Linked DNA regions of Lytechinus pictus. Each later gene encodes a partner of the first gene's protein in a complex. Links are inferred from orthologs where the notes say so. Each region holds a gene or a part of one and is shown on either strand. Other genes may lie near its edges.

Region 1 (15,769 bases):
TATCGCACACTATACCACTGTGCAATTTTTTGCGGCGCTCGTGCGATCGACGGCCGAGATCTCAGGGGGGGGGGGGCGGAATCCGACCCCCCCCCCCTCGGCTGTGAGATGGGTCCGAATAACCCGACTCTTTTAGGAATTCATGGAGAGCAGACATATCTCACCAATCCACTGATGCGAACGTAATCACGGACAGGAAATGTTTTATATTAAGACCTTAACATGGGGCAATCACTTTAAGTAGTCATGAAAAAGAAGCATAAGTCACTACATCTACATAAAACAATGATATATTTGGTGTATAATTGACTTGAAAACGGGAGGTTTTCGGTTTATATATCTCGTTAAACAGACAATGCGAGCACCAGGAACAATGAAGACAGTCCCTGAGCAAATTATGTTTCATAAAGTAATGAAAAAAATGTTTCGTATGTAATATAACATAACATGATTATAATATAATATATGCATTATAATGAATAATAATTTTTTTCCCCACTACGTTCCTCTTCCTTTCTCCCTCTTTTTCTCCTTTTCCCCGTTTTTTTTTTGGTCAGCCGATGGGGGGGGGGGCGCATGCCCTTCCCGTAGTTACGCCACTGATCCTAGTGAAATACTATTATATTAGCACGATTAGAAAGAGAGAGGTATAACATTTTTAAAAATATGACTCATTGGCACGGATAAGAATGGGCAAATTTGGAGAAAGCAAAGAGGTAAAACGAAACGGGAAATGAAAGGAAAACCAAAAGCTAAATGGGAAAATCAGAGTATGAAGAAAAGGGACAAGAAAAAAAGAAGAAAGGATTGAAAAACATAAAGAACGGGAAGAAAGGTGGATGGCGTCTATTATAAGCTTGCTTAATTTGATGGTCGCAATCAGGACAAAAAAATCTCATTGGCAAAGGGTTCGCCAAGGGCTATATATCCCCCCTTATCATGTCCTAAGTTACCAAAGTAAAGATTGACGCTGCATGGCTATAGATTTAAAACATTTCCTCTTAATGTTTACTTTGGCTAAGTTTCTAAAGCTACTATCACATAATTAGAATTTAATTTAAAAGTCATTTTTAAAGGCCAAATTTTTCTGGCTTGCTCCGCTCGCTGGCTACTTTACAAATTTTACAACATTGCTATGCTGCCTCAAAATATTTCGTTTATTATCCACAACTGCGTTGAAGTTAAAGGAGAATGAAACCCTTGAAACCAGCTGAATCCATATATCAAAGAGAAAAATCAAAGAAACATATTGTTGAAAGTTTGAGGAAGATTGAAAGAATAATAAGAAAGCATTTGATTATTGAGATCACTAATGCCATGTAGATCCTCCCATTGGCAATGCGACCAAGATCTGTGATGTCACACACGTACAACTCCTTCATTACTTTAGTACTTATTTCACTTATATTCTCACTTTTATAGAGTCTATCACAAGGTGAGGTGTTCTCTTTATGAGAGGACAAGTACAGAGGTTTCACAACATTATATCATTGATGAATCGTTTGTCATATGATTAGAATGAGCAAAAAGAGATGTTTTGGGGTATATTTTCAGTGTCCAAAAGGGGAGAGTTGTTCATCTGTGACATCATAGATCTTGGTCGCATTGCCAATGGGAGGATCTCCATAGCATTAGTGATCTCGACATTCAAATGCTCACAACTCTTCTATTTCTAGTCCTATTTTACTCAAACTTTTGTTGATCTTATTCTTTGATTTTTCTGCTTTCACAAAAGCTAACTTGCTCCAAGAGTTTCATTCTCCTTTAATATGTGTTGTGTATGGACCCGCGATTTGATACAAACGTGGCCATCTGTAATGTTGACGTCCTAGACCAGATCCAGTACCAAGGGGGAGGTACGGAGTAATTGTCATAAGCATCCTACTAAAGCTGCAAAGTGCTCCAAAACAGCTTTAAATTTTGAACATTTTCTCATCTATTCCAGGGGCGGATCCAGCCTACGCCAATAGGGGGGCCGGGGTGGAATTTTTTTAGCCATATTTTCCCCGATCGGCCGCTCGAAGAAGATTTTTTGTTTCTTTGAAGCAGTGGCGTAGCTACGGGGGGGGCATGGGGGGGCACGTGCCCCCCCTGAGATTTGGTGTGCCCCCCCAGGTGCCCCCCCTGAAAAAAAATGGCAGAGCAAAAAAAACAAGAAAACAAGGGAGAAAGAAGAAAAGAAAAACAGAAAAGAAGGAGAAAGAAAAGAAAAGAAAAAAAGAAAAGGAAAATAAGAGGAGGAAGAGGAGTGAATGAAATAATGTACGTGAGGGGAAGACTTGCAAAAATAATCTTTCATGTTACTATATAATTTTTTTGCTCGCGCTTCGCGCTCCCATTATTGAAATATATACCGTCTTCGTGGGTAACTGTAAGCAGTCCTTAAAGGGTCCCTTTTTGACAATGCTAGAACAGTTAATATAAATTTCTGCTCACGCTTGGCGTTCGCAGTTATCATCTAGTTACATACGAATCTTGTTCAGGATCATACATAACATTTCCCAGAATATTAAATTTTCAGGACAAAATACATGAAAGTAAAAAAAAAATCGCTCGCGCTTCGCGCTCGCACTTTTTATAAGGCTTATGAGATTATTTCATGTTTATGTTGTTTTATAAGAATAATACTAAGAAGTGACTGATCGGGGAAAATGTAGGTGAAGATAATTTCGGGCCCCGTCCCCTATTGGCGATAGTCGGATCCGCCCTTGTGCATACACACACACACACCGGAAAAAATTGTGCCCCCCCCTGAAAAAGCAAGGACCCCCCAGTGCCCCCCCAGGAAAAAAATCCTAGCTACGCCACTGCTTTGAAGGGGTAGTTTAATAGTCATTTCTTAGCTTTATTCCTATAAATCAACATAAATATATAATATCATAATCCTTATTATAATGGGAGCGCAAAGCGCGAGCTACTTTTTTTTAAATTCTTATGTATTTTTCCTAAAATTTGAACATTCTGGGCAATTTTTGTTGTCCTGAAAAAGATGTGTATGCAACTAAATAATTACTACGAACGCGAAGCGCGAGCAGAAATGAACTGATGGAAAATGTACCTGTTAAAGACTGCATGCACTTTTAGCCATGAAGACGTTACTTATTTTAAAATTCAAATAATGCGAGCGCAAAGCGCGAGCTAAAATTTTTTGAGGTTTTACACAAAGAATGGATTTTCTAAGCACTTTTTGTAACTTAAACAGAATAGGTTTATAATTAAACAATTGATGCGAGCGCGAAGCGCGGAAATTTCGAGATTTAGACCTACTGAACGAAACACTCTATCATGTTTTGTAAATCATGAAAAGGATGAGTACTTGGGGATCTTAAATGATGAATTATGTAAAGTGTCTACTTGGTTCAAATGCAACAAATTGTCTTTAAACGTAAACAAAACACATTTTATGCACTTTAAACATTATAATACCCATGCAGTTAACGAAGAAATAATGATAAACATTGACAGCGTCACCTTACAACAAAAACAACATTCAAAGTTTTTAGGAGTAACTATTGATGAAAATTTATCGTGGAATAATCATTTACGCCATATCACCACTTCCGTATCCAGAGGTGTTGGGATCATTTCCAAATTAAAATACTTATTACCCCCCAAAACTCTTTTTCTTCTTTATAATGTCTTGGTTTTCCCTCACATATCATATTGCAACATAGTTTGGGGTAACTGTGGTAATACAAAACTTAATTCGATTTTCTTTTTACAAAAAAGAGCAGTTCGTATTTGTACAGGATCACAGTATCTCGCTAGATCTAGTCCTTTATTTTTTAAATTAAGAACTTTCAGATATAAATACATATCAAGCTGCTATCTTCATGTTCAAATACAAAAAGGGAATACTTCCCCCTTCCTTTCAAAATATGTTCACAATCAACAACACCATTCACTCGTATCCAACACGAAACTCTGACAAATTTCATCTCACAAATCCAAAACTAATAATAGCACACAAATCAATTAGACATTACGGTGCAGATTTATGGAACAATTTGTCACCTGAAATTAAGTTATGCTCTACACTTTATTCATTCAAGGCTGTTTTGAAGAGAAATACACCGTTAAAATATAATACCTAAAATTTATGTGTGTTACGTACCAACCGATATTACAACCCTCCCCTGCACTTGCACTCTCGCACACTTGCACTTTAACTTTTATCAACATGATTATAACTTCCTCATTTTAATTTTTCTTTCCCTATCTACTTTTTTGGTAATATTTCTATTATTTTGTGCAATAAAATATAAGTCTCTTTTAATGCACTATTTGTCTGATTTTCCTTCCCCTTTCCTTTTGAGGCCTTTATCAATTTCAAGCTCTAAGCTTAAGATGAAGGTCTCCCACATTTCAAAATGTATTATTGTTGATATATGTATATATATATATATATATATATATATATATATATATATATATATATTTGTTTTTTCTGCTATTTTTTTTTAACAATAAAAAAAGAAGAAATTTATCAGGTATAAGTATATTTCAATTAGATTGTATATTATGCATATGTTATTAATTATATCATTTGCTTATTATGTTATGCTAAGAAAAAAAATGATTACACTTGTATATGCTTTTTTTGGAATGTGGAAATAAATAAATCAAATCAAAACAAATCTTCCTTACATTAATAACGCGAACGCAAAGCGCTAGCAGAAAATTTTTAAATATTTTATTTTATTTATTTATTTCCGTTTTATTTCAACAGGGTAGCCCTTTCAGTTACAAAACCGCTCTACCAATGGGCCCTGTACAATAAAAAACAAATACACATAAATAACAATTTACACACAGAAAACTTAAAACTATATACTTAACTACAAATATTTACTCAAGTAAAATCACATTAAATTGAAATTAAAAAAGTAAAATCACATACAAGCAGAGTATTCATATTAAGTTTAAATTAAATCTAAAATAACACAACCATAATATTTACATTAAATCAAAGTTAATACTGCTTTTTAAAATTCAGAGTTAAAAGTTAAAATTCTAGATTGTTTCTTAAATATGGGAAAAGATGTTATAGTTTGCATATTCTGGGGTAAACTGTTCCATAGATTTAAACCATAAAAAATGCAAAGATTTCTTGTAATACTCTGTTCGAGGTGTTTTGATTTTTAATGGGCAAGAATGTGCATATCGAGTTTGAAAGTTGATATCACGATAAACAATATTTTCCTTTAAATATGTTGGAACTGAATCATTAATCAATTTAAACATGATGAGGTAGGTCTGATACTGTTGTCTTTGTACAATGTTTTGCCAGTTTAATTGTGTGCGAAGAACATTGGAAGGTATTGAAAAATCAGCATTAAAAATCAAACGAGCATACTTGTTTTGAAGTTTTTGTATTTTCTTAATATTGCACTTCCTAGTTCTACCCCAAATAATGATACCGTAATCAATATGTGGCAGGATTAATGCATTATATAACATGATTAATATATTTTGCGGAATATTTTGCTTTATCTGTCTGATACAACCAATTATTCTTGAAATCTTCGTAAATACGTTTTGAACTGATTGAAAAGGTACCTGTTAAGTTCGATCTGCTTGCACTTAGCCATGATGACGCCACATTTCAACAATCAAATAATGGGAGCGGGAAGCGCGAGCTGAAAATTTTAACATTTCTACATAAAGAATGGAAAATTTTGATCAATTTTTGTAATCATGAACAGGATAGCTATATAACTAAACAATTGATACGAGCGCGAAGCGCAAGCTGTTGAAAAATCGAGATTTAGACCTAACAACGGGACATTCTATTCATGTTTTGTAAATCATGAAAAGAATGAGTAATATAGGGGATCTTCCTAATAATGCGGGCACAAAGCGCGAGCAGAAAATTTTTGATATTGTGATCTTAAACTGGATAATGATTTAAATAGAGAACAAGTTGAGTATCTGAATAAACATGCGCGTGCGTGTTTCATATTTAGACCTAGAATATAGGCATTCTAAATTCATCTTTTATCATGAAAATCAAAGCGAGCGTGAAGCGCGAGCTTAAACTATTTGATATTCCGATCTGAAAAAAGAGTCGATTTCAGCTCTATATTTCAAGCACTTTGTAGGAAAATTGCGAGGTGGATATGGATCGCACTTAATATAGAGCTGATATTTTTCATTATAATCACTTTGAGGTTTGACATAGGACCGGGACATCCCTAGGACATGTCATCATATGAAAATGATGACTGTCTTCCTATTCCTCTTGCTAAGCGCGAGATGAAACAAAAGGAACAATTCAATTATTAAATTAATATCTTATTCATTAATGCCTAATGAGGGCGCGAATCTGATGATATTATGGCCTGAAAACTGGACATTTCAAGCACTTTTATATAGTTATAAATAGGATGCATCAGTTAATTTATTATAACCATTAATGCTGGCTCAAATTGCATGCGAGCCTAAATTTTTTATACACTGTCATAGTTTAAATGTTGTATAATCAATATTGAGACATACATAACTCACTAATCAAAATGTGAGTGTGCGGCGCTAGCTGATACGTTTTGACAATCGGACCTGAAAAGGGATATCTTGAAAACTTTATGGAATACACGAAAATAATAGGTACCTGATAAATCGAAATTTGCGAGCGCGCAGCGCGAGCAGAAAATGGTAACATTCAGACCATAAAACTGACATTTTTACAAAGCACTAAAAAAAAATTGTAAATCACACAAAATAATGAAAGTTCGATTTTATTCTCTTGATAACTTTTACCATCTTCACCATGTTCACTCTTTTTAAACTGTTACACCTGTATCGAGCAACTTTTTGATCAGGCCGGGCGGCACCAGGAGGATTTAATAGGCGGAAGATGGCCTACATTACGTCAAACCCCCGTTTGGAGAAAGACCGCAGTTCAGATTGCAAACTGCGGTTCTATACCCCATTTTGCGTTTGTAAATCCCAAAATCATTTCCAAGCCCAGGGGGCCGTTTCATAAAGCTGCTCGTAAGTTAAGAGCGACTTTAAGAACGACTGGTGATCCTTTCTCGCGCGCTAGATCTTCGCCAATGGTGTGTACCATTTACCGCAAGACAGGATCACCAGTCGCTCTTTATTTACGAACAGCTTTATGAAACACCCGCCTGATCAATCCCGCTAGGCCAGGTAATCCCCGCTGTCTCAATTTTACCTCCACAGGCCAGATTATGAGCGTTGAGCCAAGGACGAAATGATAAACAACAGCTGTGCTATTACGTAAGACTTCTCTGCCTGTAGTAGGACCTTCGGAATGAAATTATTGTATTCGATATTTAATCACGTTTTCAAATGCATATTGTATTCAGAAATCCAATGTTAGTCCATTTTCAAGTTCGAACGAAGAAAATCGACCTCGAAATAAGGAAAGTAAGTGAATTAAAATGACGGCATGCTTTGCTCGGGCTGTTGTGTTATCTTCGGACCGAGGTCAAGAAACAGGTGTTTTGATACTTAAATTGCTTGCTTGGGGCAGTTATGGTTTGTCGTACCAATAGGTCCATGGTCGTACTTGGAGAAGAGAATTGATTGAGGGAAACTGGGGTATAGTGTTTTCAAATGAAAGGTTTTCGTCATGTATTTGACCTTATATTTTCAGTATAGTGGTAATATAGAACATAGGTTGGTTGGTTTGTTGTTGGGTAGGCCTATATGTGTCGCTGGGCCTTGTCCGGGGGGTTGAGGCTAATTGCCACGTGGCCGGATGAAATTAATGTAAATAATTTCTGGTTGAAAACCTTTTTTTTTTTGCTCGTCAAATTTTCTTCATGTGTCCCTCCCCCTGCTTCTGCTCCAAATTCCTTTCCTTCAAGCTTTTTCCTAGTCCTGGCTCCCTTTCTTCCTTTTTATATGCTGTGGACTGTACTTTAACGGATGATGATGATGATTTATTTGTCTATGGCTGCACCCAGGCTGCACCCCCCCCCCCCCCCCCCCCTCCTCCTCGGCCTCCTAGCTCTGCCTCGGCCTCGCACGCGTACGCGCTCGCGCGCGTGATGCACAAGCTTCCAGTAATGCAAATGGCGGAGGCGAGGGCACAAGTGCTGTTGTGCGGTGTTGAGCCTGAGGTGAGAAAAATAAAATTGAAGTTTTGTTTTGAATTAAATAGACTCTACGTCCTTTGCTTCAAATTTAGATTAATATATTTTTAAAGTATTTAAACTATTTAATTTTGAACTTCTTCTGTTCTTTCGAAACAAATGATTTGTTATTTCTTAGGCCTAACAGAGGCTAGACTATTTTTCTTGTTCTCTGAGTCTGATTCAGTGATTGAACTTTGAGTTTGAAGCCAATTCGGCGCTAGCTGATGTAGCTTTCATCATGGCGTTTATTGCAATAGATTAACGTTAATTTAAAGCCGGGTTTTAAGCTAGACAGGAATAACCGTCGTTTCTGTGGATTTATTTAACAATTTCTGACATTTTACTATCACCCCCATGTATTGGTGAGTGAGCCAAGTTAGCCAACGCAGTTCAGCGGAACAACCAAAATACAGAGACTGAATGAAGCTTTACTTTAGTTTTGCCTAATTTTAAACTAAGACTAAGTCTACCTCAAGTCACTCATTCAATCAATGAACAAGGTTATGATATAACCTCGTTCTCAATTATAATTATATCTCCATGTGTGGCAAAATAAGGATGGCAATGTTTGGCTTATTTTCTCTTTTTCTTTGGGACAAATGGTGAAATGCTTGATTTTTTTACACTGACAGTTTCCATTACACCTATTCGTCATTACAACTTGGCCCTTTGGCTTTAGTAAATTTGATTCTTTAAATTATTTTTTTTCTTAATTAAAAATAGAGATAAAAAAGAAAATTTTCTTGCCATATTATTTTCCACCAATAGAGGGCGAACACAAAAATATGCCAAAAATTCAAGGTTTTGAGCGCTCTAGTGAATACAAAAATTATTCCCAAGTTACAAATGAAAAATAAATTGCAACTGTATGGAAATTAGTAATTTTGGTCACAAAAGTAATATTTTAATCATTTTTTAAAGTGTGTGCTCTTTACAGCATTGGCATGCCATAGTCCAACCTGTAGGCTGTAGATTCCCCACAGGCAGGGTGGTTGCAGTGAACAAGTGCCTCGAGTAAAGTTTGTGCAGGCTCCACCTCACTACCACTACCGCTACACTCCACCTACCCGAACTTCTACACCCGTATTTCACTCCGTGTCCATCCTCCGGTTATCCTCGAAATTGGTGATTTTGGGCCAGTATCTAATTCCTCACACGTATTATTCACTGCCAATTTCAAAACATCGCATGCGATCGGTCGCAGGTCAAACAGCATAAATATTTATATTATATTGGATGGCTTAGAAAATACCAGAAATATTCTAAGTCTAAGAGTTTGGAAAAATATTCCACGAATCAGTGGAATATTTTTCACCAATTTTGAGGCGAACCGGAGGATGGACACAGAGTGAAATACGGGTGTAGAGTAAGAAATTAAGCTATTTTTCTTTCACGTTATATATTTTTTCTTTAATTTTTACAATAAATAACTTTTTGATCCCACCTTTGTCACTCGGAATATCAGATCGAGTCCACGGTCCCGAAGTTCATGTACAGGTGGAGTGTAGTGTAGCGGAAGTGGAGTGGAGGCTGCACGAACTTCGCTCGAGGTAGCTAAACTTAAAGTCAAATTCGCTTGACCGAATTATCCTAGCCAGGTCAACATGGACAAGGCCAAACTAAAGCCTTTTTCGCTGGTATCATGATCTCAAAATTCCATGACCATGACAATTGACTAACGTTAGTGCATGCTCAGCTGAAAAAGTATCATAAAAAAGTGTATGGCAAGTTCCCCCAAGCACAAGTCTACGTCTGTGTAGTCCCCCTTGTCTGCGTACATGCCTATCTGCCTGATTCTAGAGTAAAAGGAGCCCAGGAGTCGACCGTGCAAAACGAGAGAGACACTGGGGTAGATTGGGGTCTCAATAGTAATCTTAATAAAATGTGGAAACATAAATCATGCACTTACTACGATTATATCGATGAAGATGAGGTCTATCGTGACATACAAATCCTGACATCGAGGCACAGACTGGAACCTAAAAAAACCTGAAAAGTTCTGTCGCTATACCTCTCATTCTTTCAAAATTCAAAACAAAATGGCCGATCGAGAGCGAGGCTATATTCTGGTTTTTTTTTAGGTTCCAGTCTGTGCCTCGATGTCAAGATTTGTGTGTCACCATAGACTTTCATCCACATAATCGTGGTAAGTGCATAATTTCTGTTTCCACATTTTATTAAGATTACTATTGAGACCCCAATCTACCCCAGTCCCGTGTCTCCCTCATTTTGCACTGTCGAAGATACGCAACGAACACAAAATTTACACATGCAACACATACCAGTGGATGTTCATTAAAAAATCTGACTCAAAATGGTGGGAAAATAATGAGTTTTGGGCATTTCATGTGACGGCCTCAAAATGCAGCCTTTCTCATCAAAATACCTGAATCGTGTGCAAAGTGAATGGGTGCGCAGACATGGGGTACATTTTTTTTAAATCTGAAAATGACTGCCTGAGGTTCTTTCCAAGAAAATCCTATATTTCTTTCAAATTTTTATGAGATATTAGGTACACTTACTTATGATAATATAAGAAACATAATTAATTGAAAGATTTTGTGAAATAAAAAGAAATTAATGTTAAATCTTAACTCAAATCGTTAGGTGGGACCACCATCATAACCTTAATTTGTGCATGATCGTTTTGCAAAGAGACTTTTAGCCGAAATTGAGGGATTCGGCATAGGTCTATCTAAGCTCATAGAATGTGAGTGGGTCAGGTCATTTCTTGTTGGTCGACAGCACTGTGTTTGTGTAAATGGTGTGTTCTCTGACTGGGCTGATGTAACCAGCGGAATACCGTAAGGGAGTGTACTTGGACCCCTGCTTTTTGTAAGGTACATTAATAATCTGCCAGATCAGATTTTGTCAAGTAGTGTTTATTTATTTGCAGATGACACCAAGTTACATGTATACAAGCATGAAAAAAATGATAAAGATGCTGAGTTACATGTATTAGAAGGGGACTTAGATTGTCTTGTTTCACGGTCTGACAAGTGGCTATTAAAGTTCCACCCGGATAAGTTTTAATAGGTAAAAAGAATGATGAATTTAATGACTATACAATGACACATGATAATGCCTCACATATATGTAATCTATCACAAGTTGAAACTAGTAATGATTTAGGAGTGATAGACGACACAAAGCTTAGTTTTGACCAGCACTTTCAGTTAAAGATAGGCTAATGAATCTAATTAGAAGAACTTTTTGTCTCGCCCACCAGAGGTGAAGGCGAGACTTAGGGATCCAAATGTCGTCCGTCCGTCACAAACCTTATGACATATAACTCCACAACCGTAAGTCGCTTTTCAACCAAACTTGGATGGTAGATGGACTTTGGGACCTGCATGTTATGCTGCAGTCGGAGGTCACATGGTAAGGTCAAAGGTCATTTTCAGGTCAACGTTAAAGTTTTCATGCAAGACTCTCTTATGACACCTAACTCTGCAACCGTAAGTCACTTTTCAACCAAACTTGGATGGTAGATAGACCTGGGAGACCTGCATGTTATGCTGCAGTCGGAGGTCACATGGTAAGGTCAAAGGTAATTTTCAGGTCAACGTTAAAGTTTACATGCAAGACTCTTATGGGCATTTTCACCACAGATGGACACAGAGGCAAAAAAATCAAATTGATATTTATGTCAAATGCTTTATGTTTTTTAATAATACAAGACCTGAAGTTTCTGGAACAATTTTTTTTTCCAACTGTGGCAGCCATTTTTTATTTCAAAATGGCCACCAGAGTATGGATACAAATTAGTGTTGAAAATGGTATATTGATACATATTTTGTTCTGACAGATATTAAAAGAACAGGTTTGATCATGATATTTTCCCCCGTGATTTAGCTTGCTATTATAACTTTTTATAAAATCCCATAAAAAGAATCACCAGTAATTCATTTATCTGATAAAAAAATGTTGATGAAGTATGTGATATGGTATGTAACGTCAGTTACCAAAAACATGAACTTTTTTTTTTCATTTCCCAGATTTCCTCCTTAGGTAACACCCCTCCCTTCTACACCAAAATAAAAGATAATTAACAATCAAGCCATAGGGTACCATAAAATATGTGTAACGTCAGTTACCAAGTGGAAAATGTAATGTCAGTTACCGAGATGTAATGTCAGTTACCATGATAAAACATTATTATCAATAGTGAAATGCAAATTTGGTCAATTTTATGGTGAAGAAATATTGTATACTTGTTATTTAAGCCTTTCACTGTCTTAATTAAATCACACCAGAAGGAGCTTGCTATTGACTTTTAAAAGGTATAGTTCACAAGGAATACTATATAAAATTATGAAGAAAGTTGCATTCCCATCATGCAAAAAAAATTACTGTGAAATTGCATATGTACATACTTACCAAGTACCTAGTTTGTATCAGACAAAAAGTATTTTTTTATTTTTCGGTTTTCGTGGGGGAGGGGGTACTTTTCCCAACCTATTGCCTGAATCTGCAACATTTGATAAGCTTAACATTGTAATGAATGGGAGTTTCCAGGGCCCCTTTTTTAGTTTCTAGGATTCTTTTGAGCATTGCCGGGCTAAAAGTAAATTCCTGGTTTTTATACCTGTTAGTAAGGTAGATGTGTGATACAATTTTTGTTTTTGGTTTAAAAGTATAGATGAAAAGTGAAATTTGATAGTTCTGATCCAGGGAAAAAATTAATTTTTTTTTTCGGGGGCTCCATTTTTAATTTTTTGTAAAATTTCGGGGGCTCCATTTCTACCTTTCGGGGGCTACTTTTTGCATTTCGGGGGCTCTTTTCAAATGCAACTTTTTTGTATTTTGAGGAATACCTGTTCACTTATTCATGAATTATATTACTTATTGTTTAATATTGTATGATTTTTTAAGTTATTTTTTTTCATGCTTAGAATCTTGGATGTGGGTGTGTGTGTGTTTGTGTGACTGTGAGTTGAACTTGGATATAAATGAATTAAATTTCTAATTTCTACTCCATCTATTCCAGTACAATAACCTGTACTTGGCCATGTTATAAAAGGCCCACATACCCTAACTTTTCCTAAAGTTATTTGAAAACGCAGATCTCAACGAAAATTGCATTTCTCTATTGGGGAGTATAAATTTGGTGAGAATGAACTCATTACTAACTTAAATATACATGACAATGAAGAAATCATCAAACTTTATTGGCAGTTTTTAATAATATACCCGAATTAATAATATACCCGAAATGTAGACTCTGTCTGAAACAGAAAATCACCATCATTGAGGCCTTTACTGAGCAAATTGTCCCCCAGAGCTCTGGCAGAGAGACAGAGCTCAGACTGGCTAGCTATTACATGCGGCAATGCGTTCGTGAGCCTCCCGCGGCCTTGTAAAATAGATGGAGCTTTGTTTGATGATTTATTGTCTGATATTTACCTCATCCCCTAGAAAAATAAAGCAAATGATTTTTAAGTAATAATCAACAAATAAGGTAAGTTATTATGGATGTTAATAGGCCGTTTTGAATAGCAAAGCCGAATGACGACTCACCAATGCGAGGTTACTAGACTCTGGGATTTATTTCCTGTGTAATTCGAATTATTTTATCACAGAATTGTGATATCTGTAGGGGAAAATGTGCATTAGAAATTGCACATGGTGGTAGTCATAATGGACCCTTATACATGCAACCGTTTCCCGACCGTTGCGTTGATATTTTTTTCATACCATGAGTATGGAAAAACGTGGTACAGAAAAAAAGACGCAACTTCGGGATTTCAAACTGTGCTCCTCGCTATTTTCAAGGCTTGTTCTTGATTGTGAGTGCGGATTTTTGATGTTTTTTAAATGGTTAGGCGAGCTCGAGCATATGGTGCTCGTGGGCCGCCGAGTTGTATCGCTCGGCAATAATTTCGGGGGCTACATTAAGATTTTATGTCGCCCCCGAAAGCATGATTTTGGGTGATTTCGAGGGCGACTTTAGGCATTTCCGGGGCGAATTCGTGTATTTTTTTCGCTGTTCTGATCAATGTTGCATGGATCTACTAAAACTGTCTTTTTTCTTATTTACAAATAGTTCAGTTTCAGTTTAGAAGCTGGAGTTTATTTTTTATTGACAGCTTAAAAAAGAAATTAGCAAAGAGAATGATTAAACACATTGTGAAGAAAATTGAAATCCGACAGATATGAACAAGCACTGCTTGCACTGACCAGAATATAAATCAATAAAACTGCATGGCTGCAAGAGATTCAGGGAGGGGTAGACTAGGGGAGGTGACCCTTGTTCATTTTGCCTTTTTTGAGGGGAGGGGGAGGGTTGAAGAAGGAAAAGGCTTAAAAAGTCAATATAAAACTGATGAATATATGTAAATGGGTGCATAGTCAGAAAAATCCATGTGTACAGTCAATGCAATATTAAATTACTATAGGAATACATGTAGCTGGTATGACCCCCCCCCCCCCGGGTAAGTAAAACATACATTTATCTTTTTATAATTTAAACTGTGAAATATTATAAAACTTTTATGATTTTAAAAAACCTTACATATAATATAAGTACCAAGAAAATTATGCCTTTGGAAATTATATAGCACTGGTAAATGTTAATGTGTAATGTCAGTTACCGACAAGCAATAATAAAATGTTCAAATCAAACAAAAGGAATTAAGAAAAAGAAAAAGTTTTTTCATTGAAATGTTCTTAGTATATAAACTCAGGTATACTTCCACATCAAGCTCACTTTCATATGAAGCCCTGCACAGAAGATACAATGCAATGATTCCACACATTTTACTTCCATGTGTTATCTCTATGGGAAATTCAGTGTAATGTCAGTTACCAGCATGGTCGTGGAAAAATTATCATAGCCCCCAAAAGACAAAAACAAATTACTTAATATTTTGACACATCTTAACCTAGTAATGAAGGTATATTACATATTCAAATTATTACTCTAGCTACTCAGGGACATGAGATATTTCAGTTTTACTGAACACCCTGTAATTGCATCCTTTTTGCGTAATGTCAGTTACCGACACATTTTTGCTTGCTGATGCGAAACAAATGTGGTTACATTGAAAAACTTAGTATTAGAGTATACAGCAAGGTTCCCTTTATTAACTCTATCAATAGCAAACTCTCATCATTTGTTGTTCTAGAGATACACACAATTAAAGGTGTGTAAGATTGTGCCGTGTAACGTCAGTTACCGTGAAAATGCCCTTATGACAAGTGTTATTCCATCCCAGTCATTTCACAATGAAGTTTCGATACAATTCTGTTGCGTGCCGTCGCAAATCACGATATTTCTGGTTATTTTCATCAGTGGGCGAGACACAAAATCGCTTTTGCCTTGTGTTTATCTTCACACGGAGAACTTTTTACTCCTTTACAAAGCATTGCATTGATTAGACCTCATTTGGAGTATGCTCATGCAGTATAGAGTCCATACTTAAAGAAACATATTCAAGTTATACTAAGTTAGTACCTGAAGTAAAGAAACTTCCATACAAAACAAAGATTGAAACTAAAACTTCCTACATTAGCATATTGTCACTTTTTCATGTACGCAAAGTCTATGGGGAAAGGGGAAACAGAATTTCCATTTTCAGACATGCTGAAATGGAATTTAAGATTTTCTAAAACGGAAAAGGCAATTTTTAGAAACGGAAATCACTGTCCCTAAACCCTATTCT
Region 2 (15,679 bases), on another chromosome or scaffold:
CATTCCAAATGCGAGCTCGGCTCATTTTGTAAAAAAATAAATCCATCAGGGGAAAGGGCAAAGCGAGGAAGGGGTGGGAAGGGATTTTATTGTATTGTTTGCATGCATTCTATTATAACATCCAGTAATGAATCCAAGATATTACCTTGAAAACGGGAAAGGAATCACAATTATGTGGCTTACTTTTCTTCATGTTTATTAAATTCACTCGGTTTATCGACTCGACTTATTAATACGAATAGACGAATCCTTGGTATGATGAAAACTCGGTTCAATTATGCGCATCCAGCTAAAAATCTGAAGATAATGCTGAAGATGATTACAATACCAGATGCTCATTTCTAATAGTATGCAATATGGCCTGTGATTCACCAATTTCTCCCGGTTACACTTCGTAATTCCGAAGGTTCTTTATTCCGAAGGTTCGTAATTCCGAAACACGTAAATTGCCTATACATCGATGTTCGTTAATCCGAAAACGAAAAAGGGTTCGTTAATCAGAACATTTGTGGCGTTATTACGAAGGTTCGCTATTCCGAAGGTTCGCTATTTCGAAGGTTCGATAATCCGAAAACGAAATAATGTTTTTTATTCCGAAGGTTCGTTAATCCGAAAACGGAATAAGGTTCGTTGTTCCGATGGTTCGTTAATTCGAAAACGAAATAAGGTTCGTTGTTCCGAAGGTTCGTTAATCCGAAAACGAAATAAGGTTTGTTGTTCCGAAGGTTCGTTAATCCGAAAACGAAAAAGGGTTCGTTAATCAGAAAGATTTGTGGCGTTATTACAAAGGTTCGCTATTCCGAAGGTTCGCTATTTCGAAGGTTCGATAATCCGAAAACGAAATAAGGTTTTTTATTCCGAAGGTTCGTTAATCCGAAAACGAAATAAGGTTCGTTGTTCCGATGGTTCGTTAATTCGAAAACGAAATAAGGTTCGTTGTTCCGAAGGTTCGATAATCCGAAAACGAAATAAGGTACGTTCGTTGTTCCGAAGGTTCGTTAATCCGAAAACGAAATAAGGTTCGTTGTTCCGAAGGTTCGATAATTCGAAAACGAAATAAGGTTCGTTGTTCCGAAGGTTCGTTAATCCGAAAACGAAATAAGGTTCGTTATTCTGAAGGTTCGTTAATCCGAAAAATGTAAACCGGGAAAGCAGAGGAAGGGAAAGTGTGGTGGGGGGCCCCGTTGCTGTTCAATTGTTATGAGGATGGGAAGGCAAGAGCGGCCGAACGAATTTTCATTTGGGGGGCAAAGCCAAAAATGACACTCGTACGTCAAAATGGGCACTTTGGTGAAATTTTCACCATGAAATTATCATCTGCGTGAAGTCATTGTGTGTTTTATAGTAATTAAGTAGAGAAAACCCTCTTTGAAGTGACTTCTGATTATGGAAAGATGTATATTTAGGCTTTATTTTTCGCGAGAGAGTATGATGAGCGAGCGGTTTGGAAAAAAATTCAAAGCTGAAGTTGTAAAACTCGTTTTTGCGGTCAATTACTGTTAAAATGGCATTATTGCGAGGTGTTGCGAGCGTGAATCACAAGCTCAAACTTTCGGGCATTTCAATAAGAAATGAAAATAAACAATTCCGAGCAGGTTTCTGCTATACCATTAAAAGAATGTGCATCTAACCATGGACCCTAGGGTCCATGATCTAACTACAGAATTAACACGAGCGCAAAGCGCGAGGTTAAATATATACTGACCAGAAAAGGAACCTGTTAAGGACTGCATTAAGTGACCTCCTTAGAATACATATTTCACCACCAATCGAATAATGCCAGTGCGAAGCGCGAGATGAAAAATTGTAATATTCTAGCCTGAAAATTAATCTAAAATGTATACTTTAAAAAGAGTATTCATTTTGAAAAAAAGGAATTTTCATTATGGAAAAAATAGCACTTCCCTGTTATTTATTTTGGGGGTGCAAGTGCCCCCTGCACCACCCCCCCCCCCCCCAGTCAATAATTAGCTTTATTCTTATAAAATAAAGTAAATATGTAATAATATCATAAGCCCTTTTTTAATTAATGCAAGCGCTAAGCGCGGGCTATAATTTTTTTTTGAAATATGATGGGCAATATGCTTGTGATCTTCAAAACAAGATGCCTATGTAACTAGAACATGCGAGAAAGAAGCGCGAGCAGAAATTTTAAATATAAGCTCTGACATGTCTGACCTGATCTAAAAGGGCCATGTTAAGTAATTTTTGCAGTTAGCCATGAAGACGATACATTTTTCAATGGCGGCGGAGCGTATTTTCCTTGGGGGGGGGGCAAAGCCAAAAAAGGTGCACTTATATGCCAAAACGGGCATTTTGGTGAAAACGGATATTTTCACCATGAGATTATCATCTGTGTAAAGAAGTTGTGTGTTTTGTAGTAATTAAGTTGAGCTAAGTTATTTGAATTGATTTCTGATTGATAAGATAAATATTTAGGTTTTATTTTTCGCGAGCAAGCGAAGCGAGCAAGCGGTTTGGAACTTTTTTTTCAAATCTGAAGTTGTAAAACTCGCTTTTCGGTCAATTATGGACCCAATTACTGTTAAAAGGGCATCCTTGTGAGATGTTGCGGGCGAATCACGAGCTCAAACTTTTGGAAATTTCATGTAGGCCTAATAATAATAATAATGATAATAATAATAATGATAATAATAATAATGATAATAATAATAATGATAATAATAATAATGATATTGGTATTATTTATCAAGGGAAGCCATTTTAGTTCTGAAAACTGTTCTCCCAGCGGGCCCTGCTATTATTATTACCCGGCTTTGGCTGGGCTGCCTATATAGGCGCCCAAAGGAAGGCATTTAATGAATTTCTTCCTACCGGGTACCCATTCACCTCACCTGGGTTGAGTGCAGCACAGTGTGCCTACATTTCTTGCTGAATGAAATTACTCCATGGCTGGGATTCGAACATACGATCCTCTGTTTCATAGTCAGAAGACTAATCCACTGGGCCACAACGCCCCACATAAAAAGTAAACATGCCGAACATTTTTTGTAATCATGAAAAAAAGATTAACATTGTTAACTCTAGGCGTAACGATCAGTAAAATTTTATTAAAACATTTATATTCTTTATTACCATGTTTATTATGATCATCATTAGTATTATTTTTATTTTTATTACCAGCGGAAGCTCTTATTAAAATGACATCCCCTCCAATACAAATCCTATTATCTGGAGGTTACTCGCGGGCGACCAACACACTTAATCCCCTGCATCCTTAAACCATTTTCTTAAACAGCAATTGCTCAGATAAAATAGAAATTAAGCCTATATATGCTTGATTCGGGCGCCTATTCTTAATGCAATACATGCTTTGGTCACATGACACACATGTATCATCGTTCGTTATTACTATTAAATATTGCATAATATCATGTTATCTTGTAAGGACAACACCGTTCTTGTTACCAAAATGAATTAATTTCATTTTCGGAAATACGAACCTTCGGATTGGAACCTTATTTCGTTTTCGGAATTACGAATGTATGCGATTTCTCCCTGTCCATGAATAAGCTTTTCACACTGCACTTTTTTTAACCCCGGGAAATTTGTGGGGGTATAAGGGGGGGGGGGTCTTAGCCCCACCAAATTCCCGGGCCCAGAAGGAAGGGTTAGACCAGTAAAAAAAATTACTGCATGGTTTCCAGTAGAATTTTACTGGTTTCCAGTATATTTTTACTGGGCCAGTTGATTTTTAACTGGACGAGTAATAATCAACTTGAGACCAGTTCCAACAATTGCATTCCAGTTGAAGCAATTAGTAGCACCAGTTAAATTGTTTTTCATCAAACTGGTGTTTCTGGTCCAATAAATGGTTTCCAGTAGATTTTTACTGGTTTCCAGTATATGTTTACTCGACCAGTTGATTTTTAACTGGACCGGCAGTAAAAATCAACTGGAGACCAGTTCAAACAATTACATTCCAGTTGAAGCAAAGTAGTAATACCAGTTAAATTGTTTATCATCAAACTGGTGTTACTGGTCCAATAAATAATGACTTTATTTCAAGTCAGATCATTTGACGAATTATGGAAAATGAATCTTGCAATTCAGAGAAAGTTATTATCGTTATCATTGTTATCATCATTCTTCTTATAATTATCATAATTATTATTATGATTATTATGATCATTGTTGTTATCATTCTTATTACTGTTATCATTGTTATTGATACTGTAATTATTATTGTTAATATAATCATAATTATCAAGTATTAACATTATCATTAAAATAATTATTTCCTTTAATTATGATTAAGATCAAAGCAAGATATATTCCTCTGATATAGTCAACTGGTCTAAAGTAATTCATTGTTTGAAATTGAACTGGTCAAGACCAGTAATACCAGTAATTCTGATGATGCTGATCACGTGGTTTACCTCATTTGCATATTTCCTATTTTAAAAAGAAAAATCAGGATTTAGAATGGAATATCCTTGCAATGGCATTCATTGTTGTTTAAAAACTTTCCAAATAAGTGTGTGAACTAATTCACAATGAAAATGTGTAATTTCGTATATCACATTTTAAATAACAGCAGAAAGATTAATTTACTAACCATCTTTTCCATCACATTTCACTGACCATGCATGGTATATAACAAACCAAATGCATGAAATAAATTGATCCCGTAAGACCAGTACGAGGACCAGATCGACCAGTTCGAGGACCAGTCAGACCAGTCGAAAATACCAGTAAAGCCCAGCTTGAATTGGATACCAGTATGAAGACCAGAAACAAGACCAGTATAAAATTCCAGGAATTCAAGACCAGTTTAATTTTTAACTGGACCAGTAAAATTTTAACTGGACCAGTATGACCAGTTAGACCAGTAAACCGATGTTCCAATTGCAGAGTTACCAGTTAAAATTCTACTGGTCTAACAGGTCCAGTGGAACTGTTTTTTCCTTCTGGGGGGTTAAGCTTAGCCCACTTCGTTTTCACACTACGTTTTAGCAAAGTGGGCTAGCACGGTATACGGTACTATCTGGCCCTGCAATATGCTTTTCACACTGCATTCCCTTAACCCCATAATAATAATGAATAATAATACATTGTATTTATATAGCGCTTAATACATAGTGTTTCTAAGCGCTTTACAAAACGATTAAGTAGCTTACATCAATAACATTGAACAGTATAACACACAAGAAAGGAAATGTACAGTGTAAAGTATTTTCATATCACAAATTACAAATTAGCTAAGAAAACTGCCTGCTCAAGTTGGGAAGTACATGTACAAAATAATGATAATGATAAAAACAATGACGTTTATTAATTAAATAGTTCGCATTCAAAAAGTTTAAACAAAATGAATTATCAGAAATACAATTACATATAGATTATGTTTGATTATACTATCCTTAACCCCGGACTATCCGTAACCCGGCCATGCTATCCCTTTTTCGATTCACACTGTCTTTCTTATTCCCATACCATATGCTTAGCCAGGGATAAATAGTATGGGATAAGAAAGACAGTTGTGAATAAAAAAAAGATTGTATGGGGTTCCGCGGGGTTAAGGATATATATTAAGCACTGGCGTAAATCCGTGTTGATGGGTGGGGGGGGGGGTGACTGAAATATTTGGCATTTTTTGCAATCATTTTTTAGATATGCAAGGAATTGTCATTGATATGTCCACAGTGGCGTACCGTGGGTCACGGCATTGGGGAGGGGGGGGGGCACCAGCAAAATTTTTGAATCACTAAGTGAGTGCGCTAAGTTGCCAGTTATACTGACCTAATAGAGACATTTTAAAGACAATGTCATTAAACGGATATGTAGCTCACTGATCAAATAATGCGAGCGCGAAGCGCGAGCTGAAATTTTTTTATATTCACACCTAAAAAGGGACAATATAATCAAATTTGTGTAATCATGATAGGTACCTGTCTCGCTAAACAATGCGAGCGCGAAGCGCGAGCTGAACACTTAGATAATTCAGACCTGAAGTGGGGCATTCTAAGGTTTCTTTGTAGGAATTAACTAGGACCATACGTATTTCATTAACCAAATGATGCGAGCGCGAAGCGCGAGCTGAAAATTTTTGATATTCAGATCAGAAGAAGGGACATTTTAAGGACTGATTTTAGGAATTCATGAAGAGTAGACATATCTCACCAATCCACTAATGCAAACGTAATCACGGACAGGAAATGTTTCATATATACGAAGACCTTAACATGGGGCAATCACTTTTGAGTCATGAAAAAGAAGCATATGTCACTACATAAAACAATGATAACTCAAGTGCTAGGAAATATATTTGGTTTATATTGACTTGAAAACGGTATGTTACAGGATTATATATCTCGTTAAACAGACAATGCGAGCACCAGGAACAATAAAAATAGACGTAGGCCCTGGGCAAATTATGTTTCATAAAGTTGTAATGTAACATAACATAATTATAATATAATATAACATTATAATGAATAATATAACATTATAATGAATAATATTTTCTTCTTTCCCACTACGTTTCTCTTCCTTTCTCCCTCTTTTCTCCTTTTCCCCCTTTCCTCGTTTTTGTTTTTGGTCAGCCGATGGGGGGGGGGATGTGCCCCCCCATGTCCCCCGTAGTTACGCCACTGTATGTCCATATAAATACCCCTCCAATATTATTATCTTTTTTTACCCCATGATGGTATAATGGTTTTATTAGAGATTACATTAAACAAAAATTGACATTCCATCTTCATCCCTTCCCAAAGACCCCAACATTGATGAATTGGAAGAAACAGGGGTTTCTCTTCAATGTTATAATAAGGACATAAGTATTTCGTTTGGAAATGGTGAAATGGCTCTTTATTTGTATTTTATGATTTAATAATATTGTTTTATTTGTTAAGCGGTATTTTAGGAAGAATTTTCACCAATAAAACAATTATCTTTTGTGATTTTTTTTCATTTCTTTCGTAAAAAGTGGGGGATGTTTGTACAGGCCATCCCCCCCCCTCCTCGAAAAGTGGGGGGATATATCCCCCCCATCCCCCCGGGATTTACGCCAGTGATATTAAGGGTTAAGGAAATGCAGTGTGAAAAGCATAGAAGTCGCTCTCAAACGACCCAGGAGCACTATACACTGGATTCGACAATAAAAGGACTACCATTGAACCACGAAACCATTAAAAATGGCAATTCCAAACGTTCTGGGAGGAATGAAATTTGTTTTACATGACAATGAGGAGAAAATGTTCTTAAAAAATAATATACAATGACTGACTGATAGACGCTGAAGACTGAAATGTCATCATGGAAAGGATTATAATACAGGAAGGATGCCTTGTAAATGCTTTGAGAATCAACATGAGCAGTGGCATGCTTAGTGAAATCATATGTGTTGATCTCCAATCATTGAAATATACTCCGCTTACCTGTATGTAAACTTAGGCCCTAAGACTATATACGGCTATAAATAGGCACTATATTAGACTGGAATGTGATTTTTCAAATTTCATAAGGATTATTATTTTTTTTTCTTTTAATTTCATAGAATAAAATTATGATGGTGATCCCATGGTGATTATGAGTGTGTGTGATTGATTTTTTTCTCGTTTATCTATCTGGCCACCAATCCCGAGAATTCAGTAAACAAATATAATATCAAAATGTTTATTCAGGATTGGATGTTAAGAAATCGGATTAGATCCAATTAGTGGAAGATGAAGAAAAAGCAGAATTAGAAGATGAAATAATATACTGGGGGCGGGGTGCCCGGCATCGGAAGGGTGTACCATCGACACCCGTACGTGCATCGACACTAAACCACTGCCTCACATGGCCATCAATGAAGTTGTAAAATGATTGCGACATAAATTTTTTGGAATGAGTCAACGTAGTTCGCTGATCCTCATCTCTCATTCATATCCCCGTCCATACAATGTACGAAGAACCACGAGAATTGATACAGCAAATAGTCACGTCACACGCCCTTGAACCGCATTACTCAGAACATGAGATTGAAATTGAGAAATGCCTTCTAAATTTACCATATCAATGAAAAATAATATTAAGTTCATTGTTTGTGATAATCTAAAAGACTTTGACGGTAAGAGCTCTTTGTAAACATTTGCCAAAAGGAATGTAAAACAGAACTATATTTTATCTTGACGCGCAATAATAATTAAATGGCCATAATTCGCACGATCGTTCTCTCTCGTTCGTCTACACAGATTGTGACAGAGGGCAACGAGCTGTCTCCGTGCAGTTTGCCATTTTTTGCGTTCAAAAAAATAAAAAATACAAAAAAAAATACAAAATTGTAAAAAAGAAATATAAAAATATTATTCTTAGCTTCTCCGTCTGTGAAATTCTGTTGTATCTTGCCGTTAATTTCTCGTTCTTCCATCGTCTTTTTTCATCGGTTCTCGCCATATTGTCCAACGAGCGTCAACGGTTGGTCGTCGTGCACATTGACATTGCATTGTCTCGGTTCATTGACTAAAAAACGAATTTATTATCATCTGTGACTCTAAAACTCATCCAAGATGCAAGCCCCAGGACAAAATTATCCTATGAATTCTCTTTACGTCGGTGATCTTAACCCAGACGTCACAGAAGCTCTGCTCTTTGAGAAGTTTTCATCAACCGGACCGATTTTGTCTATTCGAGTCTGTCGTGACATGATCACACGTCGTTCGTTAGGCTACGCCTACGTGAATTTCCAACAACCAGCAGATGGTAAGATTAGAACTTACGTTAACTTTGAATAAAGAATAAGTTACACTTACAGACACAATTAACGTCAGATCGATCTTTAAGCCCAGAAATCGATGGGTGCACACATTTGAAAAATTATGTCTGGGGTGTCTGGAGAAAAAAAATATTTTTCTCATTTCAAAAAAATTTCATATTTTCTTTGTGAATTTGAATAGAAATAACCTTCAGACTGACAGAAATATAAAATTTTATGAAAAAATCCAATTATTTGCTGCAAAAAAGAAGAATGAAATCAGGTCAATTTTCAGCATTTTCCTGCCATAGTCAAGACTGTGTAGGCCTACCTGGTATTAAACTAATGGTATAGGCCTAGTCTTGAGGACTCCGTGAGCATATTTTTTATGATTTTGATATTGTCATAACTCGCGGAGTCTTCAACTTTCAAGGCATCCTATCTCAGTTAGCCAGGCGGCTTCTAGAGAGTAAAAATCATTTACTAATGTAAGGTCACTCTCATACGAAGCCAGGCCTTCTATCCCATCAGTAGACTGGTAGAGGCGCACGGCCAATGGGAGACTCTCTCCAATAGGGGAGACAATCTCCCACATTGGAGACTTGCTTTGCAAAAGGACAAAAGAAACAACACCAACATAGTCATAAGTATGATTTTTTCCACCCAAAATTTTGTCTCACTGAGGTCAGAAGCCCATTTGTTTTGTGTGTGATTGACAACAAAATTCCTTATCAAAATAAAAGTAGAAGGTGAATTTTTAAAGTAGACGGTGAAAAGGGGTAATTTTTCATGAGGAATCTGCTTATCACATTTTTATTTGCCGCCAAGGTACGGTAATCCTTTTGCAGCAAATGTAAAGAAAGGAAATTGGACTCCAAAACTGGAGACTGTCTCTGAAATTGGATAGGGCCTACCCAAATTCTTTACAAAAGTCTCTGATATTGGAGATAATCTCCCACAGTGGAGACAGTCTCCAATATTGGCCGTGCGCCTCTACTGCCCATAGACCCACACAATGGAAGCCAAAACCTGAAACTTTCACCCCCGAGATTTCTTCTTTCCTTCTAAAAGATCTAGCTCTAAGTCATGTACATGGGATAAAACTTCATTTCCGACATTTCTACGCTCTCGTTATTTTTAAAACAAGAATTCATCAAAAAAAAGAAAAAATATTGTGAAAAGACGGAAGAGACTTGCACGATGTTTACGCCGCCATCTTGTTTCTTATTGTACTTCCCCAACGTTACGCTACGCTCGCGTCCGTAAACCCAGGGGCTTACCGTGTATTTGACCATACTCACGGGACTAGGGTGATTTATGGTCTAAATATTTCTCCAAATGAATTGTGAAAACAGAAAGTATACAATTACCACGATTATATGGATGAAGGTCTAACGAGTGGCAGTTTCCTGACATCTGGGCACAGACTGGAACCTCAAAAAATGAAAAGTTCTCTCCTTCTACCCCCGTCTCGATCGGCCATTTTTGTTAAAAATCGTAACAAAATGGCCGATCGAGACTGGGGTAGAAGGAGAGAACTTTTCGTTTTTTGAGGTTCCACTAAAAATTAAATCTGACATAGAAATATCAAACACAAAATTGTATTTTTTTCTATATTATAATTTGATGCGTAGAGTGATCAGCCATGCAAAAAAAAAAACACTTTTGACCGCCCCCTCCCCCCCCCCCCCATCCGAAGCATATAGATTGACAGGCGTGATAGATAAATTGAGAATAACCTAGAAGCATTGAGAGTTTAAAAAAATTATTGGAGCTATATAATCATTGAAAAAGGGTTTTTAAAAATGTGAATATTATAGAAGTTTCCTCAATTGCTAATTCCATTCTTTTTAATTTTTGTTTGTGCTTTTCTTTTAGACGTTTGTAATTTTCTTCCTCTTTTTGTCTTTTTTATATTATGGCAAAAAGTAGCCAAATAAATAACTCATGATCATATATGATAATGATTTTAATTAATCCAAATCAAAGATGCATTTAAATTGTATTTTCATAGGAAATTCCAAAGAAATTGTTGTTTAATCATTGTTAGTAGAGACTAAAGGTAAATGGAAATATGAAAGAAAATTACAGTAAATCCTGCCAAACGATAGTTATTTGCCCGTTTATGTTCTTCTTGACGTTTGCGTCTGCTAGAAAAAGTGCAGCCATCGTCATCCCCAACTTAACCTCTCCTTAACGCAGTGTTAAATTTTCGTGTTATCTTTGAACAAAATTTTAGCTAACACCATTTTCAGAATACCAAATTTCGTGTTATCTTCCTCCCTAACACCGCGTATGGGGGTTGCGCGTTGTGCACTGCGTATTTCATGACCTGCGCGGTGTTACCATTTGGGCCACGTGTTTTTCATGCTAACACGATTTTCAGAATACCAATCGTGTTAGCTAACACCGTTTTTGTGCTAACACGGTTTTCAGAATACCGCCCCTGGGCTCCCTGGGTTAGGGGAAATGACAATCTCAACACACACACAAATAAGGGTTTGCAATTTATCTCTAAATCCTTATTTAAAATGATCATATAAACTTGTCCTTACTGTCAAAAGAAGTCCCTGAATTTTCCCTTTCCATACATCCCACACATTAGATAGAAATCAATTCAGATCACATTTTTTTAGCAGCCTGAATTTCCCGAAAAAATGTGCCATATTTTCCCCTAAATTAGCCTGTATTATGCTGACACTTTTCAGTGTGGCTTCAGACACCCTATTATGTCAGTCGAATCTTGTCAGACTTAGCCAGGCGGCTTCGAGAGAGTAAAAATCATTTACTAACGCAAGGTTACTCTCATACGAAGCCAGGGCTTCGTATGAGAGTAACCTTACGTAAGTAAATGATTTTTCCTCTCTAGAAGCTGCCTGGCTAGTCAGACTCAGAAACTTTTATTCACTCAATTTCAAATCTCTTTCTCACTCTCAGTTCACATATTATAATCTAAATCATAAAATACCGAATGGAAGGCAAGACCAAGTTAAGTAAGAAAAAAAAATGAGTAGATTCTAGGCCTACAACTTTACAGTTCATTGTCATATTCGATAATCATAATTTGAGATTGACATGATTGAGAGCATGGATACTAATTATTTATTGTAGCATTACGAGGCGCTAGACAGCTGGCAGCCGTCTGTTTTGAGGAGTTTTTTAATATTTTCAATTTGTTTTCTCCTCGTACACAGACCTTGACAGACGGTTCGCGATCGTGCAGCCGCCATAAGAGGGTTAACAATGCAAAATCCGTCCCAACGGGGCTCATCAAATTTTGTCTTTCTGCTGATTTGACTCACTTCGCAGTGACGTATGAGGCGCTGTTTCTAGTTATAATAATTAGTCTATTTGCATACAATTCACATTTTTGTTGAAAATAATTTAAAAGTAACAAAAAATGTTATTTAATAGCTTACTATTACTAAGCAAGGTATATTCAATTGATTTGCAAGTAACTTGAAGGAAAATGCTGACTTGAATAAATAGAGAAAAATCAAAGTAGCATAGTGCTGAAAATGTTATCAAAATCGGATGTAAGATAAGAAAGTTATGACATTTTTAATAAAGTTTCGCTTATTTTTCACAAAACAGTGATATTAACAGTAGGCCTGGGACGAATACCCTTTTTGCCATTCGATTGTTTGCCAGAGTAAACAATCGATTAGTTGGATTAATCGAGATTCCTGGAATATCAGAAATCACACACACAAAAGTTGACCTACTTCCATGACCTACGGGTAGCTGCGCTAACTGGTATGATGGGAGTGGAACTTGGAATAAATGCATTGTATGTACATACAAGGAACATGTACTTGCTCATTTATCCCGCCCTCACTGCACACAATGAACGAATAGCAAAGGAGATTGAGAACTGTGCGTGACCGCTATATGGTGCATGGATGTGTTGTATGTATTTATAGCTATGCTTGCACTTGCTCTGGTATGTCATAAATCCTGCCCATGAGTGCACACAATGGACGAATAACAAGGAGTTTGAGAACTATCAGAGATGCCAACCCTCCCGATTTCATCGGGAGGCTCCCGAAAATTCATCCCAACTCCCGCCCTTACGATTACCATCCTTATCCTCCCGAAATTACGATTTTTTTTGCATTGATCAAATTGGATTGGAAGTACATGTATCGTCTGCTGACTTAAGCATGTAGTAACTCCATTACGTTTCGCTGCTACTAAATTCTGTGTGAAAGGCAGACAAATAAGGAGCAGCGAAAAGCTGGTGCATGTGATATGCCCAACGGGAATCCACTGTGCACCAGGCCGGTAGGCCCGGCTAGCTTCGCGAGGCGTGTGCGCTCGCGGCCGCTGGATTTGTCGAGTCGTGCGATGGAATATCGGTGTGTGATTTCGGCGTATTGATGGGTTGATATTGACACGAAATGGCGGAAAATCAACAAAAAAAGACCAAGAAATGGTCTCAGAAGTATAAGACTGAATACAGTCTCCAGTACCCGTGTATTCGGAAGTCGGAAAGAGGAATCTACCATGCATTTTGCACAATTTGCAGCGTGGACATTAAAGTTGAGCACGGAGGTCGTGATGATATTCGGAAGCGCAAACGGCATACTGACATTGCGAAGACGAGATCTTCGAGCTCCACTAGTACCCTGTTGACTTATTTCACCAAGCAAGGGACCAGCGAGGAGGAAGACGTTACCCGCGCTTTAATAATAAAGAGGATAATTCCTCATTATTATAGTTGAACAGGTACTTTTCTTCTATTGTCCCCTCATTTTTTTACATGTAAAATGCATATTTGATATTTTTATTTTTATGTCAAAAAAGTGGGAACAATGTTTTTTTAAAAACATGTGAAATGCTCCAAAATAAGGGTCAGATTGCACCAGAGAGCATCTAGAAACCCAGAGCTTCCAGGGCCCTAAGGCGGGCCCTCGACCCCGGCCGCAAGGGTCGAGCGCTCCGCGCTCGAGATGTGCGCTACGCGCACATAATTTGGTGTCGGTTGCAAATCCTCCCTAATTCTGATTTCAAAAAGTTGGCATCTCTGGAACTATGTGCGTGACCTCTAGAATGCATGGATGTGTTGTATGTATGTATTCCGTATGTTAGTATATGAACATACATGTAGGTCCCGCCCATGAGTCCATTCCAAGAACGAATAGCAAAGGAGATTGAGAACTGTGCGTGACTGTGAATGGACGTGTTGTATGTATTGCACTGATGCGAACGTAGATCCCGCCCACAAGCCCATTTAAAGAACGAATAGCGAAGGAGATTGAGAACTGCGCGTGACTTGGAATGGATCCTATTCGTTCAGTCATTGGGGGAAAAGTTAGGAAAGCGCATCCGGCGGAAGGAAATGTGTCAATCAAACCCACCACGTACACGTACCCAAAGATAGAACTACTTGTGTTACGCAGAGAAGGGAATTTTGCGGGGGCCTATTTCGTGGGCGGTTCCAGTTGGTTTAATAGGCTCTGCCTCAAAACTACCTTGTACAGTGACAATGCTTTCGCGCACGTGGTAAGTCACTGATATTGTTTGAGTGGGCGGGTATAACATAATATAGCAAGTTTGATACTGAGGTGTGGCTTCTCATGACTGATTCAGAGGATTCGCGTACAAGTTAACTATTATGACAATATGGGCGTATTTGTTAGCGCTTTTGGAATGATTATTGGGCGTGGCTGTAATCACATACAATGTATAATGAGCAAACTGAGCTCACCCGACTCAGTGTGTCCAGCACAGCGCCTATAGAGACGTACGTGCACATCAGCCCAACACATCTGAATTGTGCGTGGTCGCCGCGGCTTAGTCGTCATTGTGTGTCATGAAAGAGATACAATCTTTGGAATTCGTTAATTTTAGCAGAATTTTCATTTGATATCTTGCACTTTGTTTTCAAAAATCTAAGTTTACAGTTATGTACTTATGATAATCGAATGTTTCAAATCAGTAATCATCATCTGGCGAACATTCGATAAGTGTAAACAGTAACATTCGAGTGCCGATTGTTGGCAAACTGATCGAATGCTTCGATGGATCGAATTTTACTCCCAGGCCTAATTAACAGCTAGTTGAGTCAATCGATGATGTCCATCACTCACTATTTCTTTTGTTTTTTATTGTTTGAATTATACAATATTTCATCTTTTATAGATTTGACAATAAGGACCAACTTGACTGAACCATATAGTATTAGACAATGCTAATTCCACATGTTCAGGGAGGAATTAATTGCTGTATCACTTGACAATGAGAAAATTCGAATATTTCATATAATCAAATACAAAAGAAATAGTGAGTGATGTCATCACTTCCCTCATTTGCATACCAACCAGGATGTGCATATAACTGTTTTGTGAAATTAAGCGAAAATTTAAAATGTCATAACTTTCTTATTTTACATCCGATTTTGATGACATTTTCAGTGTTATGCTTGTTGGATTTTTCTCTTTTTATTCAAATCAACTTTTTGTTGGGGTGGACTTGTCCTTTAAATTTTCAGGAATAAACTGTTTAAGTTGAATTCAATTTTCTGTTTCTTTTCCTCGTAGCTGAGCGTGCCTTAGACACAATGAACTTTGACCCACTGAAAGGTCGTCCAATACGCATCATGTGGTCACAACGTGATCCCTCACTCAGGAAATCCGGAGTTGGTAATGTCTTCATTAAAAACCTTGACAAATCTATTGACAACAAGGCCATGTATGATACTTTCTCTGCCTTCGGACACATCTTATCTTGTAAGGTAATGTATCCCATATATGTTAAACGATATTTCTAACAACACCGAGTCATGAAGATATTTAATGTTCTTGTCTTCTTTTCTCATTTTAGCATTGATTGTAAGGAATAAATTTGTTTTTCATTTATGTAGGTCTAATAACTTTATTTATACAGCATGCTTAAATGGACATGTTGGTTTAAAGTCGAGATTCATGACCAGTCAAATTTCTCGTATGACTAGCCGTTGCATTTTTCCCCATTTTATAC

The links.
Region 2: the proteins of cold shock domain-containing protein E1-like (region 1) and polyadenylate-binding protein 4-like are in contact, whole or in part, in a crystal structure (PDB 7ZHR), measured with the Drosophila melanogaster proteins. The link is inferred for Lytechinus pictus from reciprocal best matches to the Drosophila melanogaster genes Unr and pAbp. Residues at the interface, in NP_648226.2 of Drosophila melanogaster: Leu843, Glu844, Thr845, Thr846, His847, Asn848, Gly849, Val850, Glu870, Ile871, Leu872, Asp873, Glu874, Thr878, Val879, Ile880, Ser881, His883, Leu902, Ile907, Asp908; in NP_476667.1 of Drosophila melanogaster: Asn184, Tyr186, Lys188, Ser211, Lys213, Met215, Phe225, Phe227, Ala229, Tyr255, Ala257, Arg258, Ala259, Gln260, Lys261.

Annotation. Positions count from the first base shown.
Region 1 is NC_087247.1:53,962,403-53,978,171, forward strand, and holds the start of cold shock domain-containing protein E1-like, read left to right. Parts: upstream 1-8,005; 5' UTR 8,006-8,090; intron 8,091-15,769. UniProt on the Drosophila melanogaster protein: RNA-binding protein that acts as a regulator of dosage compensation in both males and females.
Region 2 is NC_087245.1:30,413,801-30,429,479, forward strand, and holds the start of polyadenylate-binding protein 4-like, read left to right. Parts: upstream 1-7,965; 5' UTR 7,966-8,513; coding exon 8,514-8,706; intron 8,707-15,240; coding exon 15,241-15,434; intron 15,435-15,679.